2 linked regions of the Bombyx mori genome follow. The protein of the gene in region 2 purifies or fractionates together with the protein of the main gene of each other region. This does not show direct contact. Links are inferred from orthologs where the notes say so. Each region holds a gene or a part of one and is shown on either strand. Other genes may lie near its edges. The genes, in order: valine--tRNA ligase and Ef-1g.

Evidence for each region.
Region 1: the proteins of Ef-1g (region 2) and valine--tRNA ligase purify together in Homo sapiens (affinity purification with mass spectrometry; 6 studies listed by BioGRID and IntAct, counting the BioPlex papers as one, with this or other methods). This does not show direct contact. The link is inferred for Bombyx mori from reciprocal best matches to the Homo sapiens genes EEF1G and VARS1.

The regions. Positions count from the first base shown.
Region 1 is NC_085114.1:14,506,766-14,510,596, reverse strand, and holds part of valine--tRNA ligase, read left to right. Parts: intron 1-772; coding exon 773-879; intron 880-1,372; coding exon 1,373-1,600; intron 1,601-2,102; coding exon 2,103-2,244; intron 2,245-3,362; coding exon 3,363-3,533; intron 3,534-3,831. UniProt on the Homo sapiens protein: Catalyzes the attachment of valine to tRNA(Val).
Region 2 is NC_085124.1:12,666,603-12,670,533, forward strand, and holds the start of Ef-1g (elongation factor 1 gamma), read right to left. Parts: upstream 2,487-3,931; coding exon 2,475-2,486; intron 2,362-2,474; coding exon 2,212-2,361; intron 2,128-2,211; coding exon 2,061-2,127; intron 1,641-2,060; coding exon 1,498-1,640; intron 1,015-1,497; coding exon 874-1,014; intron 325-873; coding exon 151-324; intron 1-150. UniProt on the Homo sapiens protein: Probably plays a role in anchoring the complex to other cellular components.

The sequences.
Region 1 (3,831 bases), on a different chromosome or scaffold from region 2:
CATGCTGAGGATGTCGATAATTGAAATCATTGTATGGACCTCTATTTTGTCATTGGTATTGTTACGCGCTGGGGTTCGAGATAAATAAAAGTTCCACCAAAGTATAACTTAAAACTGTATTTAACACTTACACCACTTACAGAACACTTTAAAATTCTCAATTCACTTCTTCCGCTTCGCTTCAGGTGATCCGTTCACTGTTTCGCTTCGAGTAGATCGGATTACTAACTAACTGCGTGCAATCTCTGCAACGCTTTTATAGTCGATACGATATCCATAAAATTGTCGAGAACATTCCTCACAAGTCGAGTATTTGCGATGTGTGTTTCCGCTACCTGAAAATAGATGGCGTTGTACTTCTTGAGCGTTCTAGATGTTACTAGACCCTTTGATATTCGTTTCGGCTATTCGGCGATAGATGACGTTACTCTTACACACTGGACACAATGGTGGAGAAGCTCACGAATCTCCGGCCAGCCTTGTCCTCGCTGCTCTCACACGAATATTTGACAATGTCAAGCCCTGAGGTGCTCCGTACTCCTCAAAGCTGAAGCTGCGATCGGCAGTTAAGTTATGATGATGCAAAACAGCTGACACGCGGGGCCCAACGCCCCCAAACCAAACGCCTCCAAACAAACAACCAGGAGTTTTGGAAATACATAAATAAATTCACATTCGATTCGCATTCACGAAAATAGTATACAGAGTCATGCTTTATAGACCATTCGTGTTATTTTGATCAGCTCGATCTCAGGGTCACTGTCTCCCGCAGGCATTCTATCCTGGGACCCTGTTGGAAACCGGCCACGACATCTTGTTCTTCTGGGTGGCCAGGATGGTGTTCTTCGGACAACGTCTCATGGGGAAGCTGCCTTTCAAGTGAGCAAAACTGAAAAAATAGCTTTAAGAGTTGAAGACAAGTATCAGTTGAGTAGTCAGCTGAGGAATTGTTTGAGATGATTCCATCATTTCGTTTTTACCATCGCACCGCCCGCTACCGGAGTAGAGTTAATCCATACTACCTGGTGCCACTGCGTTTATCCACAGTGCGTTTCCAGAGATCTTTTTTGCCACGTACCGTCCGGCTTTGGAATGATCTCCCCTTCACGGTGTTTCCAGCGCTATGACGTGTCCTTCTTCAAACGAGGCTTGTGAAGAGTACTTAATGGTAGGCAGCGGCTTGGCTCTGCCCCTGGCATTGCTGAAGTCCATGGCGACGGTAACCACTCACCACCAGGTGGGCCATATTCTCGTCTGCCTATAAGGGCAAAAAAAAGCTAATGTATTTTTTTAAATCATGTGAATCATCATGTTTCTACCTTTAATGCTACCTTTAAACCATGTATCCACCACATAATCTTCGAACCACCAGAGAGGTATACCTCCACCCGATGGTCCGCGACGCTCACGGCCGGAAGATGTCCAAGTCCCTGGGAAACGTCATCGACCCGGTGGACGTGGTGCGAGGAGTCACCCTCGAGGAGTTGCACCGGCAATTGGAAGACTCTAACTTGGACCCGCGGGAAGTGGAGAAGGCGAAGCAAGGACAGCAGCAGGACTACCCCAACGGCATCCCGGAGTGTGGCACCGATGCGCTCAGGTACCATCAATTTGTTCCTTTCTTTTTTTCCCCGCTGACAGCCTTGAGAGGCTATTTCAGCTTCTCCTTGATATGTAGGTGAGCTCACGGAACTCAAACCGGGAGTGTTGCTAACACTGGCCCTAGCAAGAGCCGTGCTTCGCAGAATCTACCACCGGATCGGAAACGCGACCCACTGAGAAGATCCGGCGAGAAACTCTCAGTGGACTGTGTCTATGGGTTAATTCACTCATCGAGCCCTTCGTCGCATGCAACGGGTTGGACGAGGACGGTGACCGGTGTTTGAGGTACCTACAAGCACCGTTAATTGATCGGGAGGATCCGTAATGACGTGTTTAGGACGACGTCGACTGTTTACCATTCGGTTCACAGGATCGGGTATGTAATTTCCGGCGGCCACGATGAGAGGGTTCTCGTGTCGTGCCGCTTTATCGAAATAGCTAATAGTTATACGAAATACAATCAAACGTTGAGGGTACTTAAGACGAGAATCCCTTGGCAGGTTCGCTCTGTGCGCGATGACCCAGGGCCGCGACCTCAACCTGGACATCCAGCGCGTGCAGGGCTACCGGTTCTTCTGCAACAAACTCTGGAACGCGACCAAATTCGCCCTCATGTATTTCCCGAAGGACTCCACTTACGAAGTGAGTATGATCTTACAATTCCAACACTGTTCTTTTTAAATACAAATATTGATTTTAATATTATTAGTCAGGACTGTCCAAAATACATACCTTTCCGGACTTATTAAATTTACTACAAAAACCGCCGCAGGAAACTATATTTTCAAGAACAACATATTTTTCGGGAATTCCCCCAATAAAAGTAAAAGATTTTTTCACTTTTAAATGATGTCACGGGAATGAAATGTTAAAAGAATAAAGATAATATACTAAATATTGATTATACTTGGTTATTATTAGGAGACTGCTTCCGAAAACGCAGACAGACGATAGTACTAATGACACCTTTGATGATGGGAAGGAAATCGATACTGATTTAGAAAAAAATACATTTTTAAAAATAAATTGCTTTACTAATAAAAAAACCAGCAATGAAACACAAAATCAAAAACAGCTGATGTTCGGATCAACCAAACCCGCGGGCGCGGCGCTGATACCGCACTCCTCAAAATTTACAACCTTGTAGGTACAAAATTTGCAGGTGCCATAAAACTGACTATATGTAACTTATACTTGAACTTATATCTCAAGATGGGTTCTAAAAATTTTTTATGGCCCTTGTAGGTTTTTTTATTTATTGCTTAGATGAGTGGACGAGCTCACAGCCCACCTGGTGTTAAGTGGTTACTGGAGCCCATAGACATCCACAACGTAAATGCGCCACCCACCTTGAGATATAAGTTCTAAGGTCTCAAGTATAGTTACAGTTACAACGGCTGCCCCACCCTTCAAACCGAAATGCATTACTGCTTCACGGCAGAAATAGGCGGGGTGGTGGTACCCACCCGCGCGGACTCTCAAGAGGTCCTACCACCAGTAAACGTAGGTAGGTAGTAAACGTGTAGGTAGACGAGCATGCGGCCCACCTGATGGTGAGTGGTTACTGTCGCTCATGGACTTCAGCAATGCCAGGGGCGGAGCTAAGCCGCTGCCTACCGCTAAATTACCGAATTTACGTTGTAGATGTCTATGGGCTCCAGTAACCACTAAACACCAGGCGGGCCGGGAGTTCGTCCACCCATCTAAGCAATAAAAAAAAGACTGTTCGATATTTATTTAACAGTTAAATTAACCAACAGGTGCACGGCCCTAATCTACCCGCGGACTTGTCGCGCATGGACCGTTGGATGCTGTCCAAGCTCGCGCTCGCGGTCCAGAGAGTGAACGGCGGCTTCGCGGCCTACGAGTTCCCAGCGGCGACCACGCACTGCTACAACCTGTGGCTCTACGACCTGTGCGATGTCTACCTGGTGAGTCCCGGGTGAGGCTCGCGGGCCGATTTAGACATGTACATATTTTTTTTAGGATTCAAGAATTACTGGTGGCCCGGAGGTCTTTCCAGTTTCACCAGGACAGGTGAGCGAGCAAGGCTCAGCCAGGAGGGGTGGGATATGCTAACAGCTGCCCGAGCGTCTAACAACTCAAGAGCAGCTGCTTCGCGAATGAATATACTACTAAATCGGAATCGCGACACGCTGAGAAGATCTGCCAAGAAACTCAGTGGGCTGATGTATGGGCTAGGTTACACATCGAACTCTTTATCGAGTT
Region 2 (3,931 bases):
TTGGAAATTGTACACTTTTAATGCGGAAAGACGATATGTAATGCTGTTTAGCTGTTCTTATTCGATAATTGCTTTCTTATTACTATTAAAATTTGAACAAACATAATTAAATTATATTTTTTGATAAAAAAACTGTAACAGTTACAGTACCTTCTTGTTCTGTGCACCAGCTAACTCCTGGTACTTTTTAGGGTCGTATGTAGGAGGAGCCGCACAGAGCGTGAGCGAGCCGACGACGGCCGACACTTGCGGCTGGTGGGCGACGGTCAGGAACCAACGCTGAACGTTTATCAGCGACGAACGGACGCTCGGGTCTAGCACGTGCTGAAGTAAAATAGCTTTTATGGCATTCTATTCAAACCCAATCGATTGTGACTTGCTTTCTTGAAAAACTGGTGGGAGGACCATGTGAGTCCGCGCGGGTAGGTAACACCACCGCGCCTATTTCTGCCGTGAAGCAGTAATGTGTTTTGGGTTGAAGGGTGGGGCAGCCGTTGTGTAGCTATACTTGAGACCTTAGAACTTATATCTCAAGGTGGGTGTCGCATTTACGTTGTCTATACGCTCAAGTAACCACTTAACACCAGGTGGGCTGTGAGCTCGTCCACCCATCTAAGCAATAAAAAAAAAATTCATTATTATTATTAAGGTACTATTTAATTTTCGATAACAATTTGCTTTTTTTAGTCTTATGCTTTTTTATTGTTCTCCTATTTGCTTTACAAACACTTTTATGTATTTAGTAATGTATTGTTTAATGATTCTCTGAAGTATCACTTTATTAACTGTGCTTACTCCAAGTGGTGAAGAAAATCAATTCAAATCTTAAAAGAAAGTTTTCAGTAGTTCATAGGATAACTTCCTTATCCTCACCTGGAAAGCATGCAGCAGTGTACTGAAGACAATGACATCGGCAAGTGTGATTCTCTCGGTAACAAGGAAGGTGCGTGTGAGAAGATGTCCGTCCAGTACTTTTAAGGCGGCCAGTAGGTCAGACTTTGCACGTTCAACATTCTGGAATTATTTAATCCTTATATCAGTTGCCAGTAGTTTGTGGCTTATAATTGTAATATTGAGTAGCTTATTAAGCACCATGACAATATAATAAATTAGAGAAAACGTACAAGATCCTATGTTTAATATTACTAAATTTTTATTGATGGTAGGAAGTCTTGTGAGTCTGCACGAGTAGGTACCACCACCCTGCCTATTTCTGCCCTGAAGCAGTAATGAGTTTCGGTTTGAAAGGCAGGGCAACCGTTGTACAGTTAAGAGTGAGACCTTACAACTCATGTCTCAAGGTGGGTGGCAGCATTTACGTTGTAGATATCTATGGGGTCCGATAACCACTTAACATCAGGTAGGGCCGTGAGCCATATATCTAAGCAAAAAAAAAGTTTAATTCTGAATAATGATAATATTCATATATTTTTATGTAATCACTTATATCAGTAGACTAACACATATATATTTTAATATCACAAATTCTTCAATTACCTGTTTGTTGAATTGCATGATACCAAGGTAAGGGAAGACCCAAGCGCAGGAAGCAGGCAGTAGTTCGCTGTCAGACCATGATGCCCACTGCCAGACACGGGCTTGGGTAGCCAGATCTCCTCCGCGGAGACTTTCATTGGCAACTGTAAAGTTCCTTTTTTAATTCAAGTTAAATGTTGTATTTTTCTTTTAACTTCTGATACTACTTGAAGTGAAAGGGTGTATGATTGGGATTATAAAATATTATGCAATAATTAAATATTATTAGTGATTTGTGAGTGTCCTCTATAATTATATTTAACGGAAATTATGAGTATTGTTTCATCAAGGAAAAGTCATGATTCGTCGATTTTATGAGTTTTTAAATCAGATTAAGTAGAAAAACGCTTTCATACTTGTACCATCGACGAATTATATAGTTAAATTTATTTGAAATAACTTCGCAAGAGGTATTTACAACCTTATCTTTTTTTAACTTTGGTTTATTAGGTATTCTTCTAGTTAGTTAGGTTAGATTTATTTAAGTTAGTTTTGTAGGTGTATTTGAAAATAAAAAAACTCACCGTAGTAAGCGATGGCATTGCTTTCAGTTAGAAGCACCTTTCCATCGGCACTTTCGAATGCAGGCACCTAAAATATACACCGATATTACACGTCACAACACTCAACATATGCCGAAATATTACTATGCACAATACGCCGGTTTAAACTCACTTTTCCGGCAGGAAACTTCTTCAAGAAGTCTTCGGACTTGTTGGTCTCGCCAAATACGAAATTCGGTGCTACTTTCACATCAGTCCCGGAATATTGTGCGGCGATCAACGCTTTATAAGCGCGGAAGTTTTCCGGATAAGTGTAAAGTACCTGAAAAAATAAATGCGTAATATTATTAATACTTTCATTATCATTGGGTTTTATTAATAAGTTTTCTATCAATGACTGGATTAACAAGATATTTCAAGGTAAATTACACCTACCCCGGCCGCCATGGTTGGAGTTTTCGGAAAGAGAAGGGGGGCCGAGGAAATATTGGCGAGGGAGGATTTTGCCCTTTGACATTGACATTCTGTGACAGCTGAAATAGAAATTAAGTGAAAATTGCATACACACGGTTATCTGTTAATCAATTTTTTAGTTTATTAAAAAAATCCCTTTTTCTTTCTTTAATTAGATTAGAATTAGACTAATATTGGAAATGCCTTGCAACCAAAAGCCTATTTCCAAGTGACTGTACATACTGTAGTTTAGGTCCTTATTTTCGGGCTAATGAAACTACCAATACCACGGGACGTTATATTATTAATTCTCTCTCACGGTCCGTACAGCTAGTCTATACATCACTCGATCAGAAACACCGTATGTTAAAGAATATAGTCTTGTGTAGCTCTTTATCATTGTAACAAAACGCTGAATGAGAATGTCTGTGTCTGGCTGTCTTTGTATCTTTCAAAAGTCTTCAAGCTGACGTGAAGGATTGAAACACATTTATTATGGCCATGTCTTGGGCACAAATTAATATTTGACAACAATTTAATATCGTCTGACCTGCGAAGTTTATTTGTGTGATGCTAGCAGCACGTCTTATGTCATCCATGCTGATCAGTGGCTCATTTTGTGGGTTAGCTTCTTCCTAAGCGAGCAATTAAATGAATGATTTTATAGAACAAAGTCAACTTCTGCAATTAGTTTTTGCTAGGAGAATTGAATGATTTATGTTGCTGTGTTCTTCTTTTAAGTGGACTAAAGTAGTTTATCGAATAAAGTATTAGCTAACTTTTCTGTTAAACCTCGTAATATGGCCACATCACAATTTAAATGATTAAAAACGCTATTTGTCTAATACTATCATGGACGAGCTTATACACTTTAAGTATTAGTAACTTTATTGGAACTGAATATTTCATGATTTTTTTGAAACATTAACCGTGTATTAACTTTTACATTTCACTGCTACTGATTCTTTTAATGCAATCGTAGTTGTTTTACCACTATTACTAATGTTTTTTGCAGAACAGAAGAAAATAGTTGAAGCTCAAGAGTCTAGCCTAATCTAGCTTTTGAATTTGGAACTAATACAGATTTGTGTAGATAGTTCTGCTCTAAATTTAGTTTTAACTTATTTCTTATAGGTAGCTGATACAATTGTACAAAACAATATATCTCAAGGTAGGTGGCGCTACTCACGTTCTCCTGACTATTATTAACGAATTTACAATAGACTAAATATATATCGAGACCCATAAAATTAAAACATACGGAAATGAATTTATATATTAGTATTACTTCTAATGAACTTTTTGGATTGATTATTGAACCTATGAAATATTGACCTAATTCATTTTAATGGTCCTCCCTTGAGCAGCTTCATACAATTCATGGCAACAATACAATCCGTGCGTAATTTAGATCGATGGTCATCGATGGTAGGTAACTG